Linked DNA regions of Drosophila melanogaster. The protein of the gene in region 1 interacts with the protein of each later gene in a pairwise test. Each region holds a gene or a part of one and is shown on either strand. Other genes may lie near its edges. The genes, in order: Hn, Map60, TfAP-2 and CG32428.

Region 1 (7,562 bases):
AATCTATAAGCAAAACAAAAAAATACCTATAAATTTACTTACCACCTTCTAGACATTGATGAGTGCGCTGATCCCGAACTATCGTGGGACTGTACGGCTGGATGTAAAAACCTAAATGGAACATACAAATGCCTTCCGTCACTGGTGGGCAGAGTTGAGCCCACCGACGGCGATGGTTTCTCCCCGGGTGAAATAGTGTGCAAGTCCGGATTCAAGCTGTCCGACGATGGCAGTGAGTGTCAGGACATTAACGAATGCGATTTGGCGGATATTGATTCAGATTCTTGGCGAATGACTTACCGTTACTGTGAGCACAAATGCGAGAATACGGTAGGTTCCTATATCTGCCATTGCCCCCAAGGATATCATCTACTCGATGATCAAAATAGTTGTATTTTGGATGGCTCCAAATTACCGCCATCGAAAGACGCGCCTGTCAGTCAGGAAGCACCAAGAAAGGATATATGCCCTTTGTTTAAGGGACCAGCCAACGGAAAGGCTTCTTGCGATAAGTATCTCCAAAATGGCTTCAACTACACTCGTTGCAATATTACCTGCAACGCGGGTTATATCATGCAGGGCTCACAATTTGCGGTTTGTGGACACACCGGACTTTGGTCTAGTCCAGAAGCCAAGTGCGTGGGTAAGTACACATCAATGTACAATGTACAAACAATTTAAGTTAGTGCTATAGGATTTTATAAGACACATTATGTATTTGCTATTGCATCCTATTTCTAGAATCCCTCGCATTGAGTTGTCCAGTTTTGACACCCCCTCGCAATGGACGTTTCTATCCTGCAAGCTGCAATAATGAACCATCCAAATCACTCGCGATTTGTGAACTGTTATGTGATCGAGGCTATTTGCCCAGAATGGACACACAGCTCATTTGTGCGGCACCATGGGGCTGGATCCAAAGAAGATGGCAGGACAATGTGCCACAATATGTGTTTCAGCAATCAGTAAGACTGAGTAACCTAACTATAACACATATTTACATTTTACCTTTACGCATTTAATTTTTTAGGTGAAACAGGACGAGGGCTGCGTGAAGATCGCTCCGCCTTAACCGGATTCCACAAAGCCGTTAATTTATTTTAACATATAAAACGACAAAAAAAATAAAAATAAATTTAACCTACACTCCTGCACTGAAGCGTGCATTGATTTTGTATTGACTATCAGTCTTGGTGTGTAAAAATCAATGAAGATGTAAAACTTTTGACATGTAGAACAGATGTTTAATATTCTCCGCTGAAGACAAATCTTGTAAGCAAACGGTACAGATAGGGCTTGCTTGTTTTTCGGATGTTTAAGCATCGTCATCATAGATCACTCCCATTTCGTCTTGATTTTGGAGTGTATTGAAAGTGGATTATCAATTCGGTCTACATAAAATATTAGCCTTAATACCCTCATTGTCTTCAAAAATGACCTGATTTCTTTGCCTACTTTTGGGCCTAAATCAATGCTTTTTAGGATTGACAAAAAACATATCTAAAAATAGAAATAAGAATATTGAAACATTTTATGTCGGAAGTAAAGACATGGTATAGATATGGTTTATTGCTTTAGCTTTTGTAAGCTCTTGTAATATTACATCAGCTTAAATTTCGGGGTTATCTGTTGACGTGCTTATACCGAGTGAACTCTGAACTTGAAACAATAATAAACCTACTCATAGATTAACAATTACAAGTGGGTACCACAATGTAAGTCACCTAGACTTAAGGAAAGCGTATTACCATTTAAAAGACAAAATCCGACAAAAAGTTCGGGTGAGTGTAACGATTGGACTAATTGATTCCAGTCAATCTGATGTGGACCGCAAGTATAAAAAAAAAACCAAGAGTAGCGCGTGCCAGGCCCACTTGGAGCTATTCACTACTGAAATAATTGCCCTGAAATGCCGTTGAACTCGTTTGGTTAGAACCTGTCATTAGAAAAACACAGCCCAGATTATTCAGTATGATTTTTTGCAAAACAAAGCAAATCTAAAACTAGCTGAAATAATGTTTTGTTAATTTGGACCCCAGCAGAGGGGCGAGTCTTAGCTGATAATATTTCCAAAATACAGTGGAACATGCGAAAAGGAAGTGCTTTGGGTTCTTCAAAAGTAAGAAAACATTGTTTACGATATTATATTTTATCTATAGAAAACTGTGCCTAAGTTCCAGGAACACAGATCTATAACATTCAAAACTGGTTTTTCGAATCAGGCGTTCCTTTTTTTCGTATTTTGAATTATGGATGCTAGACTGTATTTAAGCCTCAACATTTAGATTTGATCGGCTAGACGACGGCTTCTGTAATGAAGCTGAATACTGAAATGGGATTTTAGGCCCATCGAGACACTGGGCACTGATAACCCCGCAGCCGCAGAGCCATAGCCGCGATTGGATCGCATGTGGATGCCGTTCCAAGATCATTTACTCGCCCGATTGCCCGCGATATTATTTGTATTTTTTACTGGTTTCAGTTCGGATTGATTTTCGTTTGGGCTCAGCTATGGGGCCTATCGAAAAGTCTATTTAAGCGCGCGATTCATAGAGAAATTAAATCAGTTTTAATTCGTTTGCTGAACGGATCGTTCGCCATCGGTTTTATTGTACTTATCAGTGGAGAAACCCGAGAATCTTGTGAAAATGTACCAGCGGCAGGTCTCCTTTGATAAGGTTTGTTGCTTCGGCGAGAGTCCTCTGTGCACCCGGTATAGAAAGTGATCCGTAAAATAGCTAATAAATTAAAAACAATAACAAGTTTATTATTCTGCGTTCTCAGCATGAACTTGTCCAACCTTTGAGGAAAAAAAATTCAAATAAAATATAATTTTATTATTTTGATTGAAATGAGAATGCGGATCTATAATGTATAAAACCTGTCATGGAATTGGGTTAGTTCGCAATAGTTCTAGACAAAGGAAAACAGAGTGGTGTCTGGGACTCCTAGTGGTTTATTTTATTTTCGCTCCTAAACAAGTAGTTTATTAATGTGTTTTGTAGAGTAAAACCTGAATTAAGACGTCAGGCGCATATATTGGAAGTAGAAACAGTACAGCTTAATAAGATGTCATATAAATACATTAAGAACAAATAATTCAGCCCTGTTAGAGGACCTTGTTATGGCTCAAGATCTTGCAAAGTATACTACTTGGGAGACCTTCCCACAGATACAGCACACCAAGTTCTAGGCCGAGTCCTTGGCAATATGCGCTGATTGCCATTGCGGTCGGACCTAAACCTTCAATATGGGGGTTCAAGCCAAAACACAAACAATCTCAATGATGCAGATCTGAGGCAAGTACTACAATTACAGTTCGTTGGCTCATATAAGGCTTCGGTTAAATGATTATGCGATTTGGGCCCTGGTAGCCTCTGTAATAGGAGATTTGCTGATAGACATTGCATAGTCATAAGAGCAGAGAAATATTATCTATATTAAATAGTTTGGCTTGACTGCTCGTTTAGCCCAGGTCACTCGGAGTCAATCTGTCAAATTTCCAATGATGCAATGGCTGTTTTCCCAAACAGCAAAAATATAAACCGTAAATATTTTTTAAATTACCAATGAATTTATTACAGCCAACGCGCGTAGAGGATTCGGCTTACATAGTCGAGGGTGTAGATATTAAGGAGGCCAGGAACACCTGTCTTCTGTTTTCGCCCAAGGATTCGTCGTTGTCCAGCGGAGCTTTGGCCAACATTTTGGCCATCTTCAAGAAGCATGACATAAACCTGGTGCATATTGAGTCGCGTTCCTCGCTGCGTGTTCCCGGTTATGAGTTTTTCGTGGAGGCCGATGGAAAATCGGGAGCCTTGGGAAAAGCCATCGAGGATGTGAAGGAGCAGTGTAGCTACTTTAACATCATTTCGCGTGACTACAAGGATAATGCCACGGCTGTGCCCTGGTTCCCGCGGCGTATACGCGATCTGGATCGTTTCGCCAATCAGATTCTGAGCTACGGATCGGAGCTGGATGCCGATCATCCTGGTTTTACCGATCCGGAATACCGCAAGCGTCGCAAGTACTTCGCCGACATTGCCTACAACTACAAGCATGGCGAGCCCTTGCCCCATGTGGATTACACCAAGGAGGAGATCGAGACCTGGGGCATTATCTTCAGGAATCTTACGAAGCTGTATAAGACACATGCCTGTCGCGAGTACAACCACGTCTTTCCCTTGCTGGTGGACAACTGTGGATTCCGAGAGGATAACATTCCCCAGCTGGAGGATGTGTCCAACTTTTTGAGGGGTTAGTTCGATTACTGCCCATTAGATAGAATTCGTAACATTAAATTGCTGCACTTCAGATTGCACAGGTTTCACTCTGCGTCCAGTGGCTGGACTACTCAGCTCTCGGGATTTCCTGGCTGGACTGGCCTTCCGCGTCTTCCACTCCACTCAGTATATCCGACATCCCAGCAAGCCCATGTACACACCGGAACCAGATGTCTGCCACGAGCTGATGGGCCACGTGCCGCTTTTTGCAGATCCAGCTTTTGCCCAATTCAGTCAGGAGATCGGGCTAGCTTCCCTGGGAGCACCCGATGATTACATTGAGAAATTGTCCACCGTAAGTGGCTCTTTGCTCTAGGCTAACAAAGGATAACTGTGTGATGCGTGAATTCTTTCTTTCAGATCTTCTGGTTCACTGTTGAGTACGGCGTGTGCCGCCAGGAGGGTGAGTTGAAGGCGTACGGAGCTGGTCTGCTGTCCTCCTACGGGGAACTGGAGTATTGCCTCACGGACAAGCCGCAGCTGAAGGACTTTGAGCCGGAGGTCACTGGCGTCACCAAGTATCCCATTACTCAGTTCCAGCCTCTGTACTATGTGGCCGATAGTTTCGAAACCGCCAAGGAGAAGACCATGTAAGTTACTAGGCCTAAACATATCTAACGAAAGTGTTAAATAACTTGAATTACTTTTAGTAAATTTGCGAACTCGATTCCCCGACCCTTTGGTGTTCGCTACAATGCCTATACTCAGAGTGTTGAGGTTCTCGACTCGAAGCCCCAGATTTCGAATCTGATGGACAACATTAACTCCGAGTTCCAGATTCTTCAGAATGCCGTTGCCAAGCTGCGCGTCTGAGTAGAATTCATATACATTTTTTACTCCCTCTCTTTACTTACTATTAAGAATGAATCAAATAATAAATAACATGCAATTATGTAAGTTTTTGTAACTGTTTTTTGTTTTGCTTTATTACAACTCTGTATCGATAATGTTCTGGTTTTTTTTTTTGGTTTGGTTAGCATGTTCAATTACATTTTGTTGTTAAGCTCTTTTGAAAAACATATAAACAGTTATGTACAAAATGGGTCTACATTATCCTCATCGTATTTACAGGCTTAAGCAAGTTCTAACGACTCGTCCTATAGGTATGTACAAATCTTAAACATTGAGCTAACTAAAATTATTAAGGTAGTTGTAGTTGAGTTTAAGATAGTTTGTTTCCATTTACAAGTTCTAAGTTTAAAGCATTTGGCTCTTTATCAGCTGCAGATCGAAGCATATTCGAACGAACTTTTCCAACAGTAAAATGGTAATGCAGGGGAAATTGTAATAATGATTGAACTAATGGCATTTCAGCTGTCAGAAAAGATCGGGCCTAAAGAAAACTTATGGGAATATCTTCACAGCAAAATAAATGTCAGTTGCAATCTCAACCTGAGTTATGAGTTATACATACATAATAACACTAAATCGTACGATAAATATCATTTTTGACCTCAATGACGAAGCCCAGTCTTGAAAATAATATGGAATTGAATTAGCTTTGCTCAACTCGTTTGCTTGTTAGTCGCTTCTCAGTATATTAGAATACAAATAACTTAGGATTAGGTTTTAAGGTTCGATTTCGTATCAGAGATCCTTGTTTGCGCCTCGATGGCACTTACTGGATAAGGCTAACCTATGGAAACGATGGGTTCTTGCTACAAACTACAACAATTTAGAACCTACTTACAATGGATTTTTTTTTTTTGAGACCTTTTCTATAGTACACCTATGTTTATGTTATATACAACGCATAATGGGAGCGGGGTGGGACAATACTCAGTCTGTTGAGATCTACAACTAGCTCTGGGCTTCCGATAGATGAGGTTCGATAAAGAGAGCCAGAGGCCAAACTTGATAATACACGGATATGTGGTTATATGGGTTGCCTGGAGTTATACAATTCTATCTTTTCCTATCGCTACAGAGTGTTATATACAGTGGGTATACGCTATTGACTACTGCCTGGGGCTGTGTGTGGCGAGTTGAATAGATTCTGTGATTGCTCTTGGGACATCTGGTATGGCAATATTTCCAGATCGTTTGGCAATTGGTTTTGATTCTGATTCTGACTGTTGAGAAAGGGATTCGAACTGAAGAAGCTATTTGACTGCTGTTGATGCTGCTGCAGGATTTGTTGTTGTTGCTGCTGCTGCTGTTGCTGCTGCACCAGATTGCTGCCGGAAGTGTGCATCATCTTGTTGTCCTCGCTCTGCGTTTCGGAGCCATCATCGCTGATGCCCATGTGAAAGTTGATCGAAGGACTCGATTCGGTGGCCATCTGCATGCAGGACAACAGCGAGTCCTCGTTATTATTTTGCGGAGGATTTGAACTGCGATTGTTGTTGTTCTGGTTGCCATTATTCAGATTACTGCCTCCATTGTAGCTTTGATTGTTGTTATTGCTGCTGGAGTTGAAGGGATTAATGGTGGATTGCGAGCCCAATGAGTGCAGGGGGGACAGATTGAGAAAGGCGTCTATATCATCGATATCCTCACGCAGTAAAATATCATTTTGTTGTTGCAGCTGCAACTGTTGCTGCTGCTGTTGCTGCTGTTGTTGCTGCTGCTGTTGTTGCTGTTGCTGCTGCTGCTGTTGCTGCTGTTGTTGCTGTTGTTGCTGCTGCTGCTGATGTTGCTGCTGGGTATGTTGCTGCAACTGTGAGTGGCTCTGATGTTGCTGCTGGAGATTGTGCTGGTGCTGCGTGTGCAGATTCTGCTGCTGCTGCATCATCATCTGCTGATCCTGCTGGTTAAGCATCTGCTCCGAGTTCAGTGCAAATCCATACTGATTGAATTGCGGCTGCACGGCATTGCTGCCGGTGAAATTCAGTCCACGTTGGCCACTGGCTCCCAAATTACCCACCGCTGCTGCTGTCATGTTGCCAGGTGCGAATCCCATCGACATCATGGGCTGCAGATATGTGTAGCGGGATAGGAGGAGCTGCTCTGATACGATCCTCAGCTCATTCTGTTGCTGGAGGATCAGTTTTTGCAGTTCGTCGTGCTTCCGCTGCAATTGATCCTGCAACTGACTCTGTGTTGGCGTCATAACCACCGTATCGGGCAGCATATCCGTTTGTGACTGCACCGGAAGTGGGGAAAGCACTGGCGCCACCGGAAACGGAGCGATCACTGGCTGCATGGGAATGGCGGTGAGATATTGCGGCGGCTCAAGAAATGTCGGTGCCACCAGTTGGGGACTAGCAAGCGGATAGGCGGGTTGGGGAAACTGACACGCATTTCCAGCCATTATTTGTGTGGACGCAATCGGCAGGA
Region 2 (6,689 bases), on another chromosome or scaffold:
ACACCTTGCAAGATCTGGAGAACCGTAGCTACAGGCTCAACTCACCGGAGCACCTGCAATCAGTGCGATTTGGTGGGTTTTATAAGAACGGCTACACGTTATCAATTATAACAACATTACCTTTCAGCGAATCCCATTGTGTTGCAATCGGAGCTACAGTTGGATCGCTTAAATGGACTCCGCGTCCCAGAGGACGTTATTTACCATAATGGTGGAGCTTACATCTCTGCTCCCGTTAGCGTAGATGGTGACCTGGAGGCTTTAAAATTGTCCAACATAACCAACCTGAATGGTTATCCTCTGGAGGCGTTGGAGATCTATTTAAGTGGGCAAAATGTGCGCACCTTTGTGGCGGAGAATGTTAAGTTTGGCGGAGAACCCTCTTATCAGCTCCTGAATGGCCACAATCTAGGAAACCTTCTTGATCAGGTGTGGCTGGACAACGAGCAGATTGAGTTGAGAGAAATAAAACTGGAATCTGGGCAATTCGAAGGCCTGCTGGAATTCCAGGTGAGTGGGTATTGCACAGTAGAAACCTATGTTGTTTACAAGAACACCTTTCCCCATAGGGACCCATCAACGGGCACCAAGTGGATCATATAACTCACAACTACTTCAGCCGGACGCGTAGCAATCTGCTGAAAACTCCCCTGAGCTTCCAGCATGACGTCACGTTCGCACAGCCTCCAGTTGCCAAATACGTAAAACTACGACGTGGCAGCAGCGGCGTTTTAATGGAGGGCACCAGTAGGTAAGTGAAATTGACCAAATGATCAAGGGGCAGGGGGCAATGAACAGGGGTAAAGTTGGTATCACGTTTCACTTTCGCAATTGTTTACGCGCTAACAGTTTTAGAGTCACTGCATCCGCAGAAGTCAGCTGTGCATTCCGTTTGGCAGGTGAAATTTCTGTACACGTTTGTACGTAGCGCGGGGCGGGGGTTGCACTTAATTCGAACACTCGCAGGTGTGCTTAATTACCTTGTCAATTGGTCGCTGATTGGGTTTGGTTAAATGCACTTTTTACGGTCGGGCAGTTTCGGCAGAGCAGAGGTTTGTGATTTGAAACAACAAAAACGTCTTCGCTAGAATCCCAAACGCCTGGCAGCTGGGGATGGCAGAAGCATCGGTATATCGATGTTTTCACAACTATTATCGATCTCTACAATAATCGTTGAATTTAAATATAAATCGAATTTATAGAACTTGGGATTAAAAGATTAATTATAAATCATTTTCGGATCATAAATATAAGTACTACTCTATAAAACATTTTTTAAATTTATACATGGCTTTACTCTCGCCTGGAATTTTGTGAGGAATACCATGCTACCAAATGGTTAATACTATATTAAAATAAATCTTTTTCATTTCTTAGCAACTTCTCCCTAGATTTTGATGATTTTGTAACTCACTCGTTGAAAACAGCCGGCTCTCACGCTATAAGTGGATATTGGAAACTGCCTGAGGCCTTTATTTCGGGAAATCTAAACGATATTTACATAAATAATTTAAACCTTGCTAATGATGTCGTTAGAATGCCTCTTCAAAATGACAGTATCAATCTTCCCTTGATAGTCGAAGCATTGAAAACTGTCCAGGGCGGCACTATAAATCGTCTCCATACAACCCCTGAAAGCCAGGTGGCGGATGTGCCTGTGGCCAAGTGGATCCATGGAGCAGCCTACCTTTACGGGAACCACAGTATTTCTGGCATTACTCATCTGAATAATGTCAATCTCTACAACGATCTTACCGTGAACGGGTCTGTAAATGGTGTCCCCTGGCAGGCGGACAAGCTCATTTTGATGGACAATGAGCAGGATATACCGGGCTCCCTGCTGGTGGCGAATAGTCTTCCCGAACAGAAGCGAGTTATGAGCAATAATGTGAAGAATCTCTGGGTGGATTTCGTCAACGATCTGCCCGTTAACGAGTTACTGGTCAGCAAGGCAGAAAACCGTCCCAATCTTCACGTGGAAAGCCAACTGATCTTCACCCAGCCCCTCACTGTGGGTCACTACGAAGCGGGCAACGGAAATGGGCTGCTGGATAAATATTACAAGAAAAAGCGGGGTGTCGAATCGAATGACATTCATGATTGGCAGCAGCTGCAGGAAAATGTGGCAGCTATTAAAAACAGATTGGCCAGTATGTTAAAAACACATTAATACAAATTCTCCTTTAGTCATGTGCATTAAATTCAACCAACAGAGCCGCCTAAAGTGCTGGAAGGCTTTGCTGTGCTGCAGAAATTACCTCATAAGGCCTCGCACATGAAGATCATCTCCGTGGACAACGAGGACGTACTGGCCATCTGGGAGCAGATGCCCAGCGAAGTAGGGACTACTTACACATGGCAACCGGATATACATCTTTTTGGGCGAAGTTCAAGTAAGTTATGTAGATTTATTTGCATATAAACGTATTTTAAAATCAAGTAGCATATTCAACCTTAAATAGGGACAAATTCGAAATCTCAAATATTAGAAATACATTTTAAATTTAGCTTTAAAATTCATGCGTAAATGCTATGAACACTCATACCAGAACTGTGAGTAAATACATTTTACAAGTGGGCGGCACAGAACGCAGACGTTTGAACACGGAAAAAATAATACGATAAATACGAGAAATGGTTCAGACAGGCCTACTACATAACTACCTTTTTAGTTTGTCTAATAAGTAAGCTGAGTAATCATTTAAATTGCGAGTATCAGTCGGTCTACTGCTCCAGTTCGTCGCTCTGCACATCGAGGATGGCGCGCAAGATGGACAGCTCCAGCTTGGCGGAGGCACGCGAAGAGAGTCTGTTCATCACATTGGCCACGTACAGCCCGAGAGACTCGTGTCGCGACGAGTTGCATAGATTCTTGAAAAAGGTTGGCGGCAGCGAGTTGTCAAAGTTGCCCAGGTTGATAATCTCGGGTGTATTGGAGGAGGCGGCGTTGATCTTCGGCCCGAAGATAATGTCATTCTTAAAGTCCAGCTCGTCGATGTGTGGCGAAAAGCCGTTTGTGGAAGCCACCGAGGTGGAAGCAATGGTGGCGGCTGTCGATGAGTTCGCTCCCCCACCACCACCGTTTATCTGTTGTGCCGATGGAATGGTGATGATGTTGATACCCGGCGGTGGTGTCTGGTTGTCCTCACGCTCCTTCTTAACCTGCATCAGCTGGGCAGTGGTTGTGTGCACCACATTGTTTCCCGCCGGCAGTTGATCTGGAACGCTGGTGTGCACTGAAGTTGCGGCTGCCGATGAAGCGGCTTGTTTCGGGCTCGTGGTCTTGGTCTGCTTTTTTTGCGCCGATGACGAGGTGTACTCCTCCGAAAGTTTGCGCTTCAAAGAATCTGGCAGCTGAATGGTGGTGCGCGAGGAGCTTGATCTTTGCCCACTGGCTGGCGCCTGTTGCCCAATAGCCGGTTTCGGTGCTGCTGCGGAGCTGGGCGTCTTCTTCACAGTAATTCCCTTCTTTTGCAGTACTGCTGCGGCGGCGGACAGCGAGCTACTTCGCGGTGTGTTGTTAGCCAGTGTGTTGAGCAGCTTTTTCTCCTCGATGGCTGGGCGAGGAGTGTCGACGTTGGGTTTGGCGTACGCCAACCGCTCGTCCTTTTCTGGCGAACCGGTGCTGTGTGACTTTGTGGGGCTTTCGCCGTCGGAGGACGCCGAGCCGGTAGAGTTGGTGTGCTGTCCGTACTGATGGGCGTCATCCTCGTCCTCAGGCTCCTGCACCTCCAGCATTTCGTACTCCTCCACCTCCTCCATGGGTACTTGATCACTGCAGAATAGCAGTAGAAATTTTGTTAGTGTTTCACGGTTAGAGGACTATTTACGCCACTTACTTCTCCTCCTTGATTGAGATTTTAGGCTCCTGATGGATCTGATGCATCAGACTGAAGAGCTTCCACGCCGAATTGCCCTTTAGCTTTTCCTGCTCGTACTTCTTTTGGAGCACTATGAAGATGGAGCGCGATTCGTGCACAGAGAGCTTGTTGAGACGCCCGATCCTGGCCCACGCCTCCTCCTGCTCCTGCTTGCTGGCGCCGCCATTGTTTGGATGCAGCACCTTTTCTTTGGCGATGTCCTGCAGAATCTTGTCCAGTTGGATTGCCATCTTAGTCAGCGACTTGCGGCCCGCTGGTTGCGCGTTCCTGATAATTTTGGAGGCTGTTTTGATAACACGCGACACACGAATTGGTATATGTAACTAGGATCCGCTTGTTTTTCTCTCCGCTTTCGCACCGTTCGCTTCTCTTTTCTTCTGTATTTGGCGTCGGTAAATTGGCGGAAAATGTGACCGTGCAACACGCAAATACTAGAAATGCCGCCTTTTGGTACAGTAACTTAGGGATGAGGGAGATTTTGGCAACATAGATGTTCACAGTTCACAGCTCTCGATGCAGTGAAAATTAAATTTTTATATATTATATTTATCACTATAAATATTAATACTTGCATTATTTTTACTTATATAACAATTATAATGTTTCTCCATAAGGAAAAGTTATTCATTTTGGTAGTCATAACTATCGAAGGAATGGTTTTTGTTTTGTCTTTTTCTATTCTATTCTCATACTTTATTTATTTATTTTATGTAAGGATCCTTACATATCGATAATTCTTAATACCGCTAATTTACGGTAAAACTACCCGTCTATCTTGCTGCCGATAGGGACAAACAAATAACGCAATTTATATTGCAGATGAGAACTCCACGAAATTTAAATTTTATTGAAATACGTTACAGTTTTCGCCACCTCACAACGCCACGATATTTACTTTGTCCTGACCACCTATGCATTTGACCGTTTCCAAGCGCGTAGGCCCATCCGCTCCGGCTGGACTGCTAACCATAAAGGGGAATTCGGCCAGGCCGTAGCAGGCAGCGCCATAATTACCCAGCCGATCTACGGCGATGAGAGCACCCATGAAATCCTTGTGGTGCTTGAGAATGCGGCGAAGGCCCTCTTGAGCTGCCTCAGCCGGAGGTTTTCCCGCCCGCATGGTCTCCACCGCTAGCAGGGAGGGCAGGAAGCGCATCATCACATCTCCATCTCCGGTTGCCACGGCTGCACCCACCTCGTTGTCTGCATAAGCGCCAGCACCCGGAATGGGGGAGTCGCCGACCCGTCCGGGAATCTTGTGCCGCGCCCCGTTGGTGGAGGTGCCGGCGTGGATGTTGCTTTCCACGTCGATGGCGATCATGCCGATGGTATCGTGGTTCTTGCGTCCGATCTCATACTCATTGCGGGCACGGTCCTCCTTCCAGCGGGTCAGCGGAGTCGGCCGCGGCTTATACGGGCCGCAAGAGACCTTGGGATCCGGGTGAACGTTCTTCCAGAAGTTTGGCTGGCAGTTCTCAGCCGTCCACTGTAACCACATGTCCTTCGACTCCGGCGTGACCAGCGACTCTGATTCGAATCCCATAGCATTGGCGAAAGCTGACGCCGCATCACCCACCAGCATGGTGTGCTGCGTGTGTTCCAGAACATGCCGGGCTACCTTAATGGCATCCTTAATGCGTCGCAGACCAGCCACTGCCCCCACATCCATGGTGGCCCCGTCCATGACCATGGCATCCAGTGTGGTTTCGCCCAACTCGTCCGGCGATCCGCCATAGCCCACCGTTCGGTCACACTGGAGTTTCTCACACTTCGAGCAGCCCTCCACTACCGCATTCCGCGTCTGCCGGAGTCCACCCTTGCTTTGCTTCAGGATTCGCCAGGCGAGCACATTGGCAGCCGTGAAGTTCCAAGTGTTAATGACCATGGGCAGCAGCTCACCCGTCGTCTTATTCGCCTTCACGGCAGTGGTGCCAGCTTTTCCACTGCAAAGGGGCGGATCTTAGCGAACAAAGAATACGCTGTATGCGCTGCTCACCTAAACGCCGAAGTCAGCGTTGGTTTGGGCGAAGTATTTACTGCCGCAAGGATGGAAAACGCCATGGTGGCCAAACAAAGGATCCAAAGACTTGCCCGCAAGTGCCTTCTCATGGTTAATCGTAATGGTCTCTACGAGAAGTCTTGGTGTATCACAATCTGTCCCTGTTCTGCCGGAAAATGGTCGAGTTCTGCTTTTAAATGCTAGCAGTCTAACCTCACTGTTTTGCTTTCTTATCTGTTGTTTTGATATACCCTCTAAAAGAGTCGTACACATTTTCAAATTGGTTTAAGCAATATTTTAAAACTTGAAAATGTTTCAACATAGATTAAGATATAGGCAAAAAACCACCTATTAATATCGATAAAGTCCTATCCGTATAGCCTATATTTGGAGTGGAATTATAGGAAGAGTATTCCACGGACACATCTATAAAACACTGCTTTCCTTTTTGTAGGCACAGCACTGACACAACTAAACAAGACAAACTTGAATCCAATCAATGAGGAGGCACAGAACCCGCAGAAACTGCAATTCAGATCATATGGATTTCAGTGCCGGGCACTTCAAGAGGAGAACCAGATAGTAATCCGATGCCTAGATGAGCAGAACAACAGCAGGGAAGCAATCTTGCCCAGGCGGGCCGTAAAACAGTTGTTGCCGGTCGCTGATTCAGATGATATGACCATTCTACTTCGTACTCCCAGAGCGGTGGAGCTTTGGAAGTGGAGTAATGGCAATTACTCTCTATCAAGCAGGCTGATAGATGGGCAGGTGGAGCAAATGGCTCTTAGTCAAGGAGGTGCTGGCAT
Region 3 (7,191 bases), about 14 Mb from region 1:
TCACCACTCGAGAGCTGATTGTGATTTGCATGTGGAATGGATTGAAATGGAATGCACTTGTCTGCGGCCGGCAAGGCGGACCAAAAAGAGCGGCTTGCCGCTAAAGGAGTCGCTTGAAGTCGGAGTAAGTGCCACGAAGCCACAAGTCTGGGCAGTAGTCATGCAAGTCCTGCGGCATTCACGAGTTTCCCCCCGGCGATCGCATTTAAGACGCATCTTAAATGAGGTGCTCAGGCCGAGTCCTCCACTCTTGGGCAGTTGCGATCCCCAGCTCCTCGGCTCTTGGGTTAGGAGCCTCCCGGTTAAGAGCCAGCTTATGACTGGCTCAAAGAAAGCTGCCATTTTCGGGAGTGCACTGGTATGGGTTGGGATGTGGATGTGGATGAGGACGTGGATGTAATTGTGGCTGCAATGGTGTAGGTGTGCGGGTCGGTAGTTGGTAGTTGCACAGAGGTGTACTTGGGTGCATTTACCATGGGCACACGGACCACTGTGCATCACGATTTATGCCCGGTGCTGCGGGGAGGACTGGGAATTAATTGGTAATGCGAGCAGTGCATCAGTATCAGTATCCGTATCAGTATCGGTTTTGGCTTTGCCTCGGCATCCGAATCGGGTCTGAAAATGGCGGACCGATCATCGATCGATCGATCGATGGATGGATGGATCGATCGATCGTTCTCTTGTCGTGGCCGCAATCAAAAGTCGTGCCGCCGCAATGAAATCGCTGAAATGGAGGTGGGTCGTCCGGCATTCCACCGCCGCAATTGGATAATGCACCTGATCGCCGCTTCCACTCCACTGCACTCCACTCCACGAAATTTACTGTTTGGCCAGCTCCTCCGAGGTGGCTTCGTGAGTGGCTCCGCGTACATAATGTGCATGTGCAGTCGGCGAGATCACGGTTTCACATCTCATTTCGCCCTGCCACAAATTCGGACTTAATGACTGCGTGCCCGATATACTTTTCCTCCGAGCTTCGCTCCTTCTTTCTCGGCTGAACTTTGCTCTGCTCCCCTGGCAACAGAAGATAGGAGCCCGAATCCATTTGAGTCACTTAGAAAGCTAATGGCATAATTCAATTGGGGCGGACAAACATTCAAAGCTCGGGTTGGGCAATCCGCCGAGTGATTCAATTTTCCACAGCCGCTAATCCTTGTCCCGCTTACTGGCGGATCTAATTGTGTAACCTGAAAACAAAGCAGGAATAAATGAAATGAATGTCTCTTGAGGATTGCGACGCTTACTTTCAGCTTTTCAGCGTGGTTAATAGAACAAGGAATTCAAATGATGGAGATTCATACAGAACACCACGTTGATACTAAAGATTTATTCCTGGTGCTCAAGACTTATCTAAGTCAGCGCCTTTTTAACCCAACTTTCACACTTTAACCAACTTTGTTGATTTCTATGGCCTACTAACACATGTAACTTATAAAAAGGTCTGCTGGTCTAAACGGTGGCAATGGTTGTATTTTATGTTAATTGATTAAACTTTTTTTGCAAAGTCCATATTTTTGGATAGTTTGACACAAAACAATATTGACGAATAAGAATTTTCAGTATGTTTCATTACCTTATTGCTATATTCATGAGTTTGAGTAATGAACTAAAGTTTGCAAAAAGTATTTCGATGCCTTAACAATATCATATAATCGATTTTCTTGCCATCCAAAATTTTTCCTTATTTTCATCTCTATTACTATATTTTTATGGCTTCGCATATGAAAAGTCGTTGACTTTTGTTATTATTATAATTGTTTCATGAAGTACTTATAAAAATCTAACAAATAATTGACTAATTAGTTAACTATCAATATTTAATTTTAAAAAACATCAGAATGGGTAACTTCTATAGCTCTGAAGTTAGTGAAACATAATAGTGTTCCTGATTTGAAGTTGTGAAGCACCTGTCCTTAAATTAATTTTCTGATTTGTTTCGATTTTTTTAATTATAATCGTTGTAAAACTAACTATACTATTTAGATAAAGGTTATTAAAGCGGGACACAAGTAAGAAGTTTGCTTGTTATAAGTTCATTGGCAAGCCAAAATAGTTTGTTTATAGTGAACCTTTAATTTTAAAGAGTGCTTTAATTGTCCTAAGTTCCTCTATCGTGTTATATATAAAAGGGAATTTGTAAATTAGAAATCTTTAAGCATGCGAAGTGGCCTGCTGTTGATTTTCCGTTTGTTTAATCGTTTACAAAAATTTTACCCTCAAATGTTCGAAAGCTACAGCCATAGAAAAAATAAAAATCTGCTATTTTCAGTTTGTTTTGATTATGGCGAGCAAGGACCCACACTCACGCCCTTACATATATGGGTAGATTTTTATGTAGAATATGTAAATCGGGCGGACAGCCTCTTTCACATGGCAACCCCCGAACGTTCGATAAGTACGTAGATACATACATACATAGGTGGGTCGCTTAATCCCCGAGAGAAGAAAGAACCCGGAGCACGTACCACTGGCGATTTGGGCGTCCAATGCCGGGGTTTTCCCAGTAGCAGCCCGGGCTCAGAGATCCAGCAACCCTCGGGGCACGGGTGCGTCGCCAACCCCGGCCATTCGCATGCGATTCCACCCCTATGTATTCGTATTCGTATCCGTATCGCACTCGCATCTCGCGAGCATCCGCATCTGGCAGTGTGGCTGTGTATCCGCATCTGTGTGTCTGTACGCGAGCTGCGCTGCCTGCCGCAGCCTCTGGGTTTTCGGTTTTCGGGCTCGGCCCATTGTCTAGTAGTCCGCTGGCGGGGCGTGGCTTCCGAAATATAAATGGCTGTGCTCTCTTTGGGCGGCGGGCTCTCTTCGGAAGCCGCTCTTCGATGCCCGAAAGCCAGAAAACCTGCTTGCCCGGCGTATCTGTGTGCGCCTCACACCCATACAGACGCGCGGCGCACGGGCATAGGCTTTGGGCACTTTTCCTATGTATTTCGCAGCTGTATGGGAGAAAAAACGGCAGCAGCCGCGGCAGCAGCAGCATCTGCAGCAGCAGCAGCAGCAGCCGCCGCCGCAGCAGCAGCGGCAACATCGCACATCCCCCGAAGGTTTTTGCGTCCAACCAGAAAATCCAACTTCAGTCGAGAACTACGTCTGGTGGCTGCGCAAAGGCGGAATTTCGATTGCGGGTCCTCGCTTAATTAACCAAACCAAACCAAACCGAACCGTACCGAACCAAAACCGTACCGAAACCGCTCCGTTCCGTTCCGAACCGATCCGCACCTAGCCGAACCGAAACGATCGTGGATCCGAACTGCAAATTAGTTCAAATACAATTAAATCACGTCTATTGTCCTTCAATCGGGGAGAGTGCAGTGTATATAGCGGCGGATACGGAACTCTAGCTCCAGCACCCACAGTTGCCTTAACCAGTGCCAAAAATCGATTTTCAATAAATACTTATTTAGTGATCGTACCTGTTTTGCATTGGCCCTGGCCCAAGTGTTCAAAAGAAAACCTATGCTCTCCAACTAGTTGATATCGCCGTCTAATTTGGATCAACATGCACATTCTACACCGCACCAACGACCATCAGTTCGAGGATCAGAAGTTCATGATGGTAAGCTGCGCGCCTTTTGCAGGATACTTCGATCGGAGGAGGGTCGGGTCTATCTATCCAAATTGTCTGTCAGCCGAAATCTGCCCAGGCTAATCCCCGCCCGAGCATCGGCGCAGCTTTAGCTACTCAAAATACTCAAAGATATTGAACCATCGAGTGCCCATGGGCGGACGAGCTTGATTGACACTGAAATTTCTTTGGGCATTTTGGGGCACGCAAGCCTTAAAACCATTGGCCAATTACGACCATTGGCCAGCGATCCGGACCGAGAGATCTGCGCCCGTGATTCACATTCACACACAAGCTGATTACCATTCCGGGCCATTCTAGCAGCAAAATCAATGAGCAATTTACAGTAATGGGTTCTCCTGCGACTCCGTGTGGCACACTCTGCTCTGGGAATAATAAGTACATAAACTTCAACCTGATTGTGCCCACTCCAAGAGTCCGGGGATCACTCAAGTGCCCAAGAGGGTGTGGGGCCCCGAAAGCAGACTGCGATCACAGGCGCATGCAATTCTCTTGTAATTAGAGGTCTTAAACCTTGAAAATGCATCTTCAAATTTAAATTGACTTTTTAAAGTAGGCAGTCTTAAACCTCAAGGAGTCTATTTAAAAATTTTATTAAAGTCAGGATCTAAAACCTGAATACAAACGGTGTTTGTTTATGGTAATCAGACATTCAAGAAGTCAGTTTGCTTTTTTTGTTATCCTAGTCGAGATGCATTGGACACAAATGGACCAAATCGAAATCAAATGTGCATATTCGTATTCAGATTAGGTAATGTTCGATCAGTATCAAAGTATTAATTTTAGTTTCCCAGTATCCTTATAGGTTTTCTTGGGCTGAAAACTCTTTACTAAATGCAATTCTCTATTCAAATATTATAGGGCGACAAGACTAAAGAATATAAAATCTTATTGAAAAAGCCAATGGGTCTGTTAACTTATTTTATTTACTTGTAATTGAGAAACATACCCTTAAAGGATGCAATGTTAGTTGCACTCATTTTTAATTTTATTCTGTTTTTTGAACGGGCAATTTGGAATCATTTATTTTTTAAGACGGCAAAAGTAGCCGTCGGAAAGACGAACCTTAAAACTGTAGCTAGCATATGTATATGTATGTGTATGAAGTCCACTGTTTTTAGAGTAATGATTCTTGAAATCTTTTTAATCTTCTTTTAAATTTCATATACAAATTTATCGTACAATATTTACAGTCTTTGATCGTTTATAATATCTATAACTGTAAATGTAAATCCAAGAGAGAAAGCCATGTTATGCTTTCTATGTTATTTCGATTAAAGTCTCTATAAGATTTGTACTCTTAGTATTAGTATTTGTATCATCAGACATAAGCCTCAAATTAAGCGGTTTGGCTGTTTCAAATATGTGCGTTATGGGAGGGAAACCGTATCTGAAAGTAAAAAAGGTCCTACATTTAATGCACTCACGATTTCGAGGCAGAGAGCAAAAAGTGACGGCGGTGGGAGTGATCAGACGTCAGTGGTCAAAATTCAAATGCGAATATGGAGGAATTCTTGAAATGCGTGGGTACACGCTCCCCCATTTAATTAGCGAAATTATATGGTGTTCTTGCTTCCAAGAACTTTTTCGATGCCCGATAAAAAAATAGGGCAATTTGCGGGGCAAGGGCCAAAGATCAAAACAAAAACACAGCGAAGAGGTAGACCAAAAGTCATCGCCCACAAAAATCCGAGTCCCGCCAGCAAAGTGGGCATGTCGAGTGTGTTGGCATTAGCTTTGGTTTTGGTTTGGTTTGGTTTGGCTGGTCCTGGTACTGGTCCTGGACCTGTCCCTGGCACTCCGAAGACTCCCAAATCAGGTAAGATCCCACTGGGACACTCGCGTGATGCGTTGCCAAAATAATTTATGAGATTGAAGCGCAACGCATCGTCAATTTGCGTGCGATCGCCAACTAAAAAAAGAATGCCATACAGACTGGCAGAAAAGTTCCCATAGCCCAGCTCCCAAATATCAAAAAGTATTCAGCATTGGGCTTATTTATTAGCCAAACTCCGTTTCATCCAAGAGGTTCGGGCTCAAAGCCTGATTGATGGCTTCCCTTATGATTTATTGAATAATTTCTTTATAATTTAGAATAATTGTTCCAATTTACAATGTGCACTTTGTAGGATTGCGAGGCATGTTGGTATGGTAATTGTGCGCAGGGCTAGGGATTGCATAAAGAAATGAATAAGCGCCATTAAACTTTCCCCCACTTCCAGATGCAGGAATACTATAGTCTTGATTAAAAGTAAATTATATAAATGGAACTAGAGGAAACTCGCAATAAGATGAATGAAACAATTTCGATAGGATCAGAGTGTAAGACCGATCCGTGTTCATATTTGCATATTCGCATATCATATTTATTATTTCGCCAGTGCGGGCGAGATAATTCCGAGTCCTTTGCATCCGCTGGAAGGCATTTCCGCTTCCACAGACATGCAGATACATCCTCGGAGGAAACTGGAATTGCATATGCACGCATCAAAATTGATTTCATTTGCGGAGAGGAAATTAAAAAGTCCAAACAAAACCAAATTGATTGGCAAGATAAATGTAAATGTTCATAACGTGGCCAAGATCCTCAGCACAATCCAGAATCAAGTGTCGGAACCTCGACGATGTGGACGGCGTGTGTTAGGCTCGTGGCAAACCAAAACCAAAACCAAAGCCGTGCAAAGCACCACATCCACATCCTCGTCCGATGCCAAAAGCCAAGGCAAGAGCGAAATCATCGGTTGGCCGACATGCGTTGGCCTTGCCTCCTCGGAGGCAGAATGTGGAGGATGGGGAGGCCAGACCTGCAGTTGGCTCACGAGGCTGCTGCATCGAAAGCCGGCCCTTTGGACGCAGATTGCAAACGGACGAGCCGAGCTTAGCTCAGTCGAGTTCGGAAGAAGCTACACAGGGAGAATCATTGGGTTGTGAGGAGCTCAAAAGGAGATCACAATGCCAGTGCATGTGGAGTTCTTGTAATCATAGTTTCCAATATTTCTTGTTTATCTTATAATAGTATAATATAGTATTAAAAAGCAATACATATATGTAAGTTTATCGCATGGTCATATTTCAATTTGCAGAACGAAGTAACCTTAGTCCTATGTATAATTAGTAGTGAATACTATATACGGAGATTCATGTAACATATCGTATAATTTGCATACTATACAGCAGCCCATAAACAAAGTGGTTCTCTTACAACACTCTCGACCTTTTCTCGCAGTGCACATGCATGGTCGCCAAGTGGGCACTTTCGGCTCGTCGTTCTTCTATTCGTCATCTGCACGCTAGAAGATGGGACGCAGCTTTTCGATTTTGGCCGAGCAGGCTCCGCAAATACCCAGCAGGTTTAATACATTTATGAATGGGTTTTACTACTTCATTAAGGGCTCCTCCGCTCTTCCGCGCATTTGAGGGCCAAGGAGCTGGAGCTGGAGCTCGAGCCGAAGGAAGAGACTGAGGATCCAGCCGAGCTCCAGCTCTGCGGATTGGAGCGCGTGCGCAGCCAGGAGGAGGAGGAGGACGAGCAGGGCAGGAGTACCTGCAAGAATCGTAATAAGCAGAAATCGATTATCGTCCGCTGAACATTTCCA
Region 4 (8,707 bases), about 13 Mb from region 1:
CTCGCAATCCCACGCCGAATGTTACGGTAGGTCCACCACTTTCAAAGCCAGAAGTTTGTTCGATACTGAGGACCCATTTCCGCAGATCCAACGGCCGCGCACCATTTACGGCGTTTCCAAGGTGCACGCCGAGCTGATTGGCGAATACTACTACCACAAGTTTGGACTGGACTTCAGATGCCTGCGCTTCCCAGGAGTGATTTCCAGTGATCCGCCGGGCGGCGGCACCACAGGTATTTAAGCACCGTACATTTCTGTGGAGACTCAAGCACATCAATCTGCGTGGAAATATCTGCGAGATACTCTTCCCGCTGAAGTCATGTCGTCGAGCGCACTTCAAGCTTTATTTAATCCAATTTCGTATCATAAATGCTCCAATTGAAGATAGTTTATGATAATCAAAGAGCATGACAATGGCCATAATTCGTACAAAATGCAGAGGGTTTTGTTGGGGAGCCGCAAACCTGGTGACCCATATTAACTTATCTTTGATTGAACTGATTAACTTAAAGATTGTCTAAGTCTCAACTACTCTGCATTGCTTTCACTCATGAATGGAATAATAATGCTTATTACACTTTGGGGAAAGCTAATTTGTTTTAATGCCATTGCATTCTTATGAAATCACGTATACGCACCGTGAATCGAATCATTTCTGCAGCTTTATACAAATTTATAATGTACCAAAAACAAGTCCTGCTTTAACATTTCACATTTGTTATTTGTTTCAACTTTTAGATTACGCTGTGGCCGTGTTCCATGAAGCGCTGCGCAATGGAAAGTACACCTGCTACCTGCGTCCTGACACAAGACTGCCCATGATGTACATTGAAGATTGTTTGCGGTGAGTAATAAGTGCATTGTAACAAACTATTTCTTTGTTACTAATGACCCATCTAACTAGGGCTCTCCTCGAGTTCATGCGTGCTCCCAACGAACAGCTGAAGCGCCGCGTCTACAACGTGACCGCCATGTCCTTCACTCCCGAGGAGCTGTTCGCCCAGCTGGGCAAGCACGTGCCCAATCTGCACGTGACCTACAAGCCAGATAGCCGCCAGTTGATCGCAGACGCCTGGCCGCAGGTATTCGATGACTCCGATGCGCGGCGCGACTGGCACTGGCAGCACAAGTACGACCTGTCCAACCTGGTGGACTTCATGATCAAGGACGTGCAGGATAACTACATTAATGTTCAGCCGGAGCAGCAGACTCTGCAGATCTAAGACGTGGATCGAACAACCGCATCTAGTATTGCTAAGTAATGAAATCCAATCGCATTTAACACTGCATTTATCTAGTGAATAGCAACACAAACCACTGTAACATTTTACCTTTTAAAATACAGTAAGGCATTTATTGGAAAGGAAAACTATTGGTTCATTTCATCTTGAAGAATTGTGATCTTAAAGTTCTTCAGCACATGGAAATACTTTCGATTATTGATGTGAGTTTCGCACGATAGCTTTTGGTTTATTCGAACTCAAATACTATTGGTAAGCACCTTTAGTTTGCGACAGCTTATATTACAACTTAGGCTAGGATGTACAATTCTTGCTCGGAGTTACTTTATCATATATCAGACTCCTCTAGCTCCGATCCGCCGAGCCCACAAAAGTGGTGCAGACTGCCGCCGTGTGTGGCTATATACAAGTCCGCTTCGGCTTCGCTGCCTATGGACTTTAATTTGATTTTCCCAATAGAATTATTAGATTTTCTTGACTTTTGCTGCGGGGACGGCACTCGTTGCTCTGCGGATTCTGTAAACGAGCAGATTGGAGATTTGTCTATCAATTTGGGTCACTAACTTGGCCTTTCGCGTTTGCTGTTTGGATCTTCCACAAAGTGCTCTTTAAAAGTTGGCTGACTTCATTAACTTAAACTTCGAATAAAATAGAAAAAATAAAGTATATAAAAAAAATTTAAGTATAACAGAATTTATATAAAGATCGGTGGTAGCTGTTAAGTTTATTGCAAATATATGTGAGTGTAAAAATTGATACAAAAGATATAAGCACTCACCGCGGTCTTAAGCTACTAAGTCATCAATATACCTAAAGCATATGTTGATAACGATTTGAACTAATGGTAAAGTATACCTTAGAAATAAATTTACGACTATGGTTGCGTATCAGCCAACTTCACATATTAAATTCACTTTGTGAAGGCTCCCAGCAATCGCTCCAGGCTGATTGAACATTTCACTTAACATATATTGCTTGCTTTTTTGTGATTGCAATGTTTCGCAGGTCTAACTATTACTTTTTGAAATTAATTACGTATTTCAATTCTTTAGGTAGTTAAGTACAGTTTATGTTCGATGTTCGACTTAGCTGTTGTTTGTACAATAGTTCGTGAGTTTAACAATTTATACAGAATACTTATTGGCTGAGTCGTTAGCTGATTGTTTTTTTTTTTTACAAAATTTGAATTTTTGGTATATGGTAGGTATGTGCATTGCGGATATTTTCAATTCAATTGCTCCTTTGCGTTAATTTGCTTTCTGAGTGATATGCGAACATTTTTCGATACATTGTCGGCTGTTTAGCAAATAAAGAGAGACGCGTCGCTCGGTGAACTGTTGCATGTGTTTCTTGTGCGCTTTTCTCAGCTACAGTACATGTTTTGGGTTATATATGTACATTTTGAGTTTTGTGTGAACGAGGGCCCCTAAATCATGTGCGACATCATGCAACGACTCACATCACGGTTGGCGCGATGCAAATGACCTTGATAATGCTGATGAATGCGCTGATATTGATGTGGCTGCTGTGGATGTTGCTGTTGCTCTTGATGTTGCTGCTGCTGCGCTGGAAAACTCGTCTCCGATTCCATCATCATCATGCCGCCGGTGGCCTGCATCTCGTAATCCATCAAAGAGGCCTGCGTTCCAATTATTTGTGTGGCAGGCAAGGAAAAGAAATCTGCAAGGCAATAAACCGATCATTAAGTTACATTAACTTATATAAAATAATTTACAATTTATTATAATTGTATGTACAAACTGAAGTCTATTCCGATTTTTCTCAGTGCAACGGCAATGCAACGCAACACGTTGACACTATCGATGCTTGGCCCAATTACCGATCGTTTATTTATAACCAATTCGGAGCAGAGCAGTGTGTTGTCATTTCTTATCTACGAGTTAGTTTCTTTTTTTCTGCTTTTTGTTTGTGCTGATAACCTTATCAACGCAATCGGAAACTATAAGGTAACGAAGGCAAAACGGAGTGCACAGATTAACAACAACTAATTAAGTGTAGTCATAGTTGCAAAAATACATATGTATATTTATTCCAATAGAAAACATTTAAAATTGTATTTCTATTATTTTGTACCCCTTTTAAAAATATTAATATAGATCAAAAAAATTGAGATATATATTTAAGTAAATCGTGGACAAAACTAAATGAAATATTCGTACATATCATTGAAATCACTTAAAAACATTTAAGAAGCGTTTATACCCTCAGAAAGAGTATAGATTATTGATTCACTCCCGCAGATATACACATTTCTTTTACCGGCTGTATATATTTACGCCCACACTGCCTTCCCCCTTTGTTTTCTTCTATTGTTGGAACACTTTTGCGAATGCAGATTGATTAAACTGGCGGTGTAAGAAGAATCGTAACACTCTGTTGACCCAGTGTACATAGTCATCTCCGCAGTACCTCCAGTTAATCCCCACTACTTGTGTGTTTTGTTTAGTAGGCCAAACACACCGATATACATATATGCATATGTATGTCTATAAAGACTGAGTCAAGCCGGTTTTTCTTTGCTAAATTTAAGCGGCTGTCAAGTGCTATCGTTTCGAGTCCGGTACCCTCTGTATGCCACAGATAGTCCGGATCCCACCGAATAACTGAACAGTGATAACACAGGTCGCTGGGAGAGCCAATGGGAGAAGAAATGGGGCCGCAAGGTCAGAGATAATTGTGTAAATTTACAAGTTTTACGACACTTTCACGCAACACCAATTAAATGCGCGGGCATAAGAGCCAAGGTCGAGAGATTATAAACAAAATTACAGCTTAAGTCGTCTGGTGTGTTCCGGTTTTTAAATTCATACCAACAAAAATGCCTTCAATACTCATTTAAAGTTAAATTAATATCATATTTGGTTCAAGTATAATTTGAATTTCATTGCAAGTGTTAAATTTAAGTTCAAAATGGTTTGAGACACTAAAAAATGCAACCATTACTCTTAAAGGATTGAGTATAACATAATAATATATTTCTGAGTGTTTTCTGAAACTAATGAGGATATTTAATATTTAAAGGCTGCTCGACAACAAATTTATTTATTGGAATTATTGCATGTGCAATTGCTAAGTAAGCCTAATATAAAACTGCCTTAAACAATTTAATAATTAAATAACTAAGCTTGCATTTTTGAGCAGCGATACTCACCATTGCAGTACTGGGCGGCCAAGTCAGACTCGTCGTAGCGACATCTCTTGGTGTACACCGGTTGGTCCGTGTCCAAATCCCCGACAGGATTGTGACCGGGATTCAGGCGCTTCTTGCAGCGCAGGACTTCCGGAGGCAGGACGACCGGCATCGGTTGTGCCGCGAGGTTATTGCCATCATTGTTGTTGTTGTTGTTGTTGGCGTCGGTCATGAAGGTGACGGCGCGTGGATTGAACGGATCCATCGAAGGACGCAGCGCTCCAGTTTCGAAAGTGGCGGCCGCCGACGACGACGGATCACCATGTGCCCAGCACTCGAAGTTCGTCAAAACCATCGCGCGCCAGCTGCAGTGGAATTTCCCCAAAAAAACCGAAAAGCAAGTACAGTAAATTCGGAAAAAACGCTCCTCTGCGTCCGTACTGTACTGTACGAAATCGTGCGGCGAACTGCAGGCGCGTATTTTTCCCCTAATTGAAATCGTATTTGTATGCAGTATGGATTTTGATGGCTCTGTCGGCTTAATAAGCGCCGAAAATACGCAGCAGTTGCTAAAATGGATGAAATAATTCAATTAACACACGCAAGCGGGGCGCGCGAGCATTCGGCCGAAATGCGACTGTAAATGCGGTGACGGCAACTGTTAAAAATAAACCAATAAGCAAGTTTTACATTTTGCCGCGTGCGCCTTTCGATTCACGATTGCTCTTTTGTTTTCCTTTCGCTCCAGTGTGACCACACTGCTGGTGTCGCAATAAGGCGTGCGACCCTGGAGAAAAATACCGAAGAAGTTGCGAAAAGACAGCTGTGGTTGCAAAAATAGTGCAGATCTTATGAATCTCATTGGAAGTCATGGAAACTTATAATTTATATATATTTATATTTATAATTATCGAAAATCGCGAAACAGCGTACAATATGTTACTTGAACAAATATGACACTTCATTTTGTATACCTAAAGAAATAGCTTCAATACTTCTCTTTTATTTTGATATAATTTTAACTTTTTACTCAATTAAAATGAATTAAAAAATGAGAATTTAGTTGAAAATATTTCGATAGCAACGATACCAACGATTAATCGACTAGTCGCAGTATTTTCTGGTATATTTTGAATGCTGGCACGGTACTACCACTTTATCATGTGATTTGTGATTTGTCAAATATTTCTGATAACCGAATGGCAGACCAAAGCAAAACTAGAAATTGAGAGAAATTGCTGATTTTTCAATTAAGCTGCATTCTATTTAACTGAAAAGATGTCGACCAAGAACAAGAAAGCCGCCGGAGGCAACGGAGTTGCGCCGAAACAAACCCGCCAGCAGTCGCACGTATGTAACATGACGGCTCCGATTGCCGGCTAGCTAATCCCTTGTTTATTTTGGATGCCCAGGACTCGCAGGACTACAGCTCCTTCAAGACAGTGCTCTTCTACTGCATGCTTATCGTTTTCCTGCCCGTGCTGACCTTCTTTGTGCTGAAGGGCTTCGTTCTGGACCAGTTCCTCGACATTTCCGAAGTCAAAGTGAACATAGCATCCGCCGTGGGAGCGGTCGTTGCATTGCACATCGCCCTGGGACTCTATATATACAGGGCCTACTTTGGGGCACCCGGTTCCAAGGGCTCCAAAACGGACTAATCCTCATCTACCCCGGACTGTTACCCTATTTCCATTAACTTTAAGTCGGTAGAGCACTCTTGTACATACATACATGCTACATATATAGATACAATTGTTTACATGCCAGCGAGGGAGGAGAAAGTCGCCTGTAAACCGTGTGTAATCGCTTTTCATTGCATAAGTTTCGATAACAGCGTGGAAAACGTGTTGTGTTGTGTAGTGTTCTGTGTGCATAATTTGTATTAAAAATATACATGCATAAGTGAAATGCGTCTGCTACTCAGAAATTATTCCCTAATGGAGGCCGTCAAAAGATTGCTGCCGAGACCGCGCAAAAAAATCTACAATCTAGGCGCTTGCTTCGAACTGGTGGATATTCCTAAGGTTAACTAAAACATACATTTATTTGTACTCTCTGCTTGAAAGGGGAGTTCTGTATAAAGTATACTGACTTCGGGGATTTTATTATATTGATAAATTAATTTTATGTTTTTGAATTTTATATTATATGTTTTCTTTTTGATTGAAGCACAAATTAGTCATTTTATTATTTTGTAAGAAGAGAATGGCTAGTGAACTGAATATTTCGTGTAACCATTGCTTAAGACCCCTGCTCATTAAATCTAGACACGCCCGTGACCTGTTTTTATGGGGGTGCCACCTGTTCGGGACTGGTGCTGCCACCTGATACAAATGGCAAGCAGCTGTTTAAATAATACGCGTAAACAAAACGATTTTGGTTGAATTAGTAAACAAGGAAATTAAATGATTTTTGAGAGGAGTGCAATAAATTACTGATGGGAAACAAATAGACACCCACAACGAGCGTTACCTATAGACAGTGTTATTTTCGTTAGCATTTTGACCCCCTTTGCGACGCCCATTTTTGTTATTTTGTGCCTTACAAGTCGGCCGTAAAAACTGGCCAAAATGATAATTTAATAGACTCGCCAAAGGGTCTTAAGTACAAGCCGGAGTGTGCCGCAAAATAGTTGCGCAGCCGGATGACCAATCTTTAAACTTCTTACGAACCTGCCGCTATTGATTGCAACCACCTGTTGGGACACAACACTCCCACCGCCGAACAAAAACACTCAGCCACGTAGTCTTAAGTCAGTCGGTTAAATATGCTACATCGAACAGCTAGAATGTGGACGCTGTGCGTGCAGACAGCTTTGATAGCCACCTTGGTGAGGGGATCCACTTCCCAGAAGGATAATCTCGTAGGAAGAACACAGGTCAATGGAGGGTAATGCAGCTAAACCAACCGCCTGCTTAATATGTGCTTTCTTTTAATTCAAACAGATATCCTACAATCCCAGCGAGCTCTCCGAGCCCCGATTCCTGGAGTACAGCAATCTATCCGATAAGCTACACCTAAGGGAAGCCATTGACAAAATCCTTATACCTCGAGTTGTGGGCACAACAAATCATAGCATCGTTCGCGAATACATCGTCCAGAGTTTGAGGGATCTAGACTGGGATGTGGAAGTAAACAGCTTTCATGATCACGCTCCCATCAAAGGCAAATTGCATTTCCACAACATCATCGCCACCCTGAATCCAAATGCTGAGAGATATCTGGTGCTGTCCTGCCATTATGATAGCAAATACATGCCTGGAGTGGAATTCCTGGGGGCCACCGACTCGGCAGTGCCCTGTGCCATGCTCCTCAACCTGGCCCAGGTGCTTCAGGAGCAGTTGAAACCCCTCAAGAAGAGCAAACTGAGTTTGATGCTCTTGTTCTTCGATGGCGAGGAGGCTTTTGAGGAGTGGGGACCCAAGGACTCCATCTATGGAGCACGACACCTGGCCAAAAAGTGGCACCATGAAGGAAAACTTGATAGAATAGATATGCTGGTGCTCCTGGATCTGTTGGGAGCCCCCGATCCGGCATTCTACAGCTTCTTCGAAAACACCGAGTCCTGGTACATGCGTATCCAGTCCGTGGAGACACGTCTTGCCAAGTTGCAGCTCCTGGAGCGCTATGCCAGCAGTGGAGTTGCCCAGCGCGACCCCACCCGCTACTTCCAGTCGCAGGCCATGCGATCCTCTTTCATCGAGGACGATCACATACCCTTCCTGCGGCGAAATGTGCCGATCTTGCACCTCATTCCGGTGCCCTTTCCCAGTGTATGGCATACGCCCGACGATAACGCCAGCGTGATCGATTATGCGACGACGGACAACCTGGCACTGATTATACGGCTCTTCGCTTTGGAGTATCTGCTGGCCGGAACCGAGGCCAAGTAGTCAAGTGGGCTTCCGTGTGAATCACAAATGACAAATGTTGTATCTACTTCAGGCCTTATCTAATTGACCTGTTCCAGTATCGGAGCATTGTTGGAAGTTCTTATGCCCGCCGGAAGATCCCTAGAAAACCTTGTTGTAACCGACTGCGTGCTTTAAAACTAATAAGGGAAGATCTGCAACACGCGTACTCCAAATATTTTTATACACATGTATTTATAGAAAATGCTTAGCTAATGACACGTCAGGTTTATATATTTTTTGTAATCTTTCGGTTGTAAATTGTTTCACTTATGTAAGTTAACTAAGTTAACCGGACTGATTGTCCGCACACCAGCACCGGTCAAATTGCTGACCAAGCATTTGGCCGGAAGCTCATGCATAGCCGGCAGAAGCTCTGCGCATTGGCAGAGGCCGCTATGATG

What was found.
Region 2: the proteins of Hn (region 1) and Map60 interact in a two-hybrid assay, tested with the Drosophila melanogaster proteins (one large-scale study listed by BioGRID).
Region 3: the proteins of Hn (region 1) and TfAP-2 interact in a two-hybrid assay, tested with the Drosophila melanogaster proteins (one large-scale study listed by BioGRID).
Region 4: the proteins of Hn (region 1) and CG32428 interact in a two-hybrid assay, tested with the Drosophila melanogaster proteins (one large-scale study listed by BioGRID).

Annotation. Positions count from the first base shown.
Region 1 is NT_037436.4:7,757,979-7,765,540, forward strand, and holds Hn (henna), read left to right. Parts: upstream 1-2,474; 5' UTR 2,475-2,648; coding exon 2,649-2,678; intron 2,679-3,005; exon of another isoform or gene 3,006-3,299; intron 3,300-3,388; exon of another isoform or gene 3,389-3,569; coding exon of another isoform or gene 3,570-3,584; coding exon 3,585-4,257; intron 4,258-4,315; coding exon 4,316-4,578; intron 4,579-4,643; coding exon 4,644-4,873; intron 4,874-4,933; coding exon 4,934-5,096; 3' UTR 5,097-5,188; downstream 5,189-7,562. Other genes in the region: CG32373 (uncharacterized protein), read left to right, coding at 53-643, 742-965, 1,031-1,072; Clk (clock), read right to left, coding at 6,235-7,562.
Region 2 is NT_033778.4:9,588,451-9,595,139, reverse strand, and holds Map60 (Microtubule-associated protein 60), read right to left. Parts: upstream 4,274-6,689; 5' UTR 4,112-4,273; coding exon 3,840-4,111; intron 3,776-3,839; coding exon 2,725-3,775; 3' UTR 2,396-2,724; downstream 1-2,395. Other genes in the region: CG1827 (uncharacterized protein), read right to left, coding at 4,756-5,824, 5,878-5,990; clos (closca), read left to right, coding at 1-72, 128-510, 570-751, 1,378-2,150, 2,214-2,393, 6,335-6,689.
Region 3 is NT_037436.4:21,595,774-21,602,964, forward strand, and holds the start of TfAP-2 (transcription factor AP-2), read left to right. Parts: upstream 1-3,082; 5' UTR 3,083-3,508; coding exon 3,509-3,565; intron 3,566-7,191.
Region 4 is NT_037436.4:20,468,228-20,476,934, forward strand, and holds CG32428 (uncharacterized protein), read right to left. Parts: upstream 5,146-8,707; 5' UTR 4,748-5,145; coding exon 4,414-4,747; intron 2,922-4,413; coding exon 2,727-2,921; coding exon of another isoform or gene 2,668-2,726; exon of another isoform or gene 1,796-2,667; intron 1,758-1,795; coding exon 1,570-1,757; 3' UTR 1,447-1,569; downstream 1-1,446. Other genes in the region: Tdh (L-threonine dehydrogenase), read left to right, coding at 1-26, 86-233, 739-844, 905-1,223; CG5969 (uncharacterized protein), read left to right, coding at 5,671-5,742, 5,805-6,050; isoQC (iso glutaminyl cyclase), read left to right, coding at 6,300-6,416, 7,338-8,285.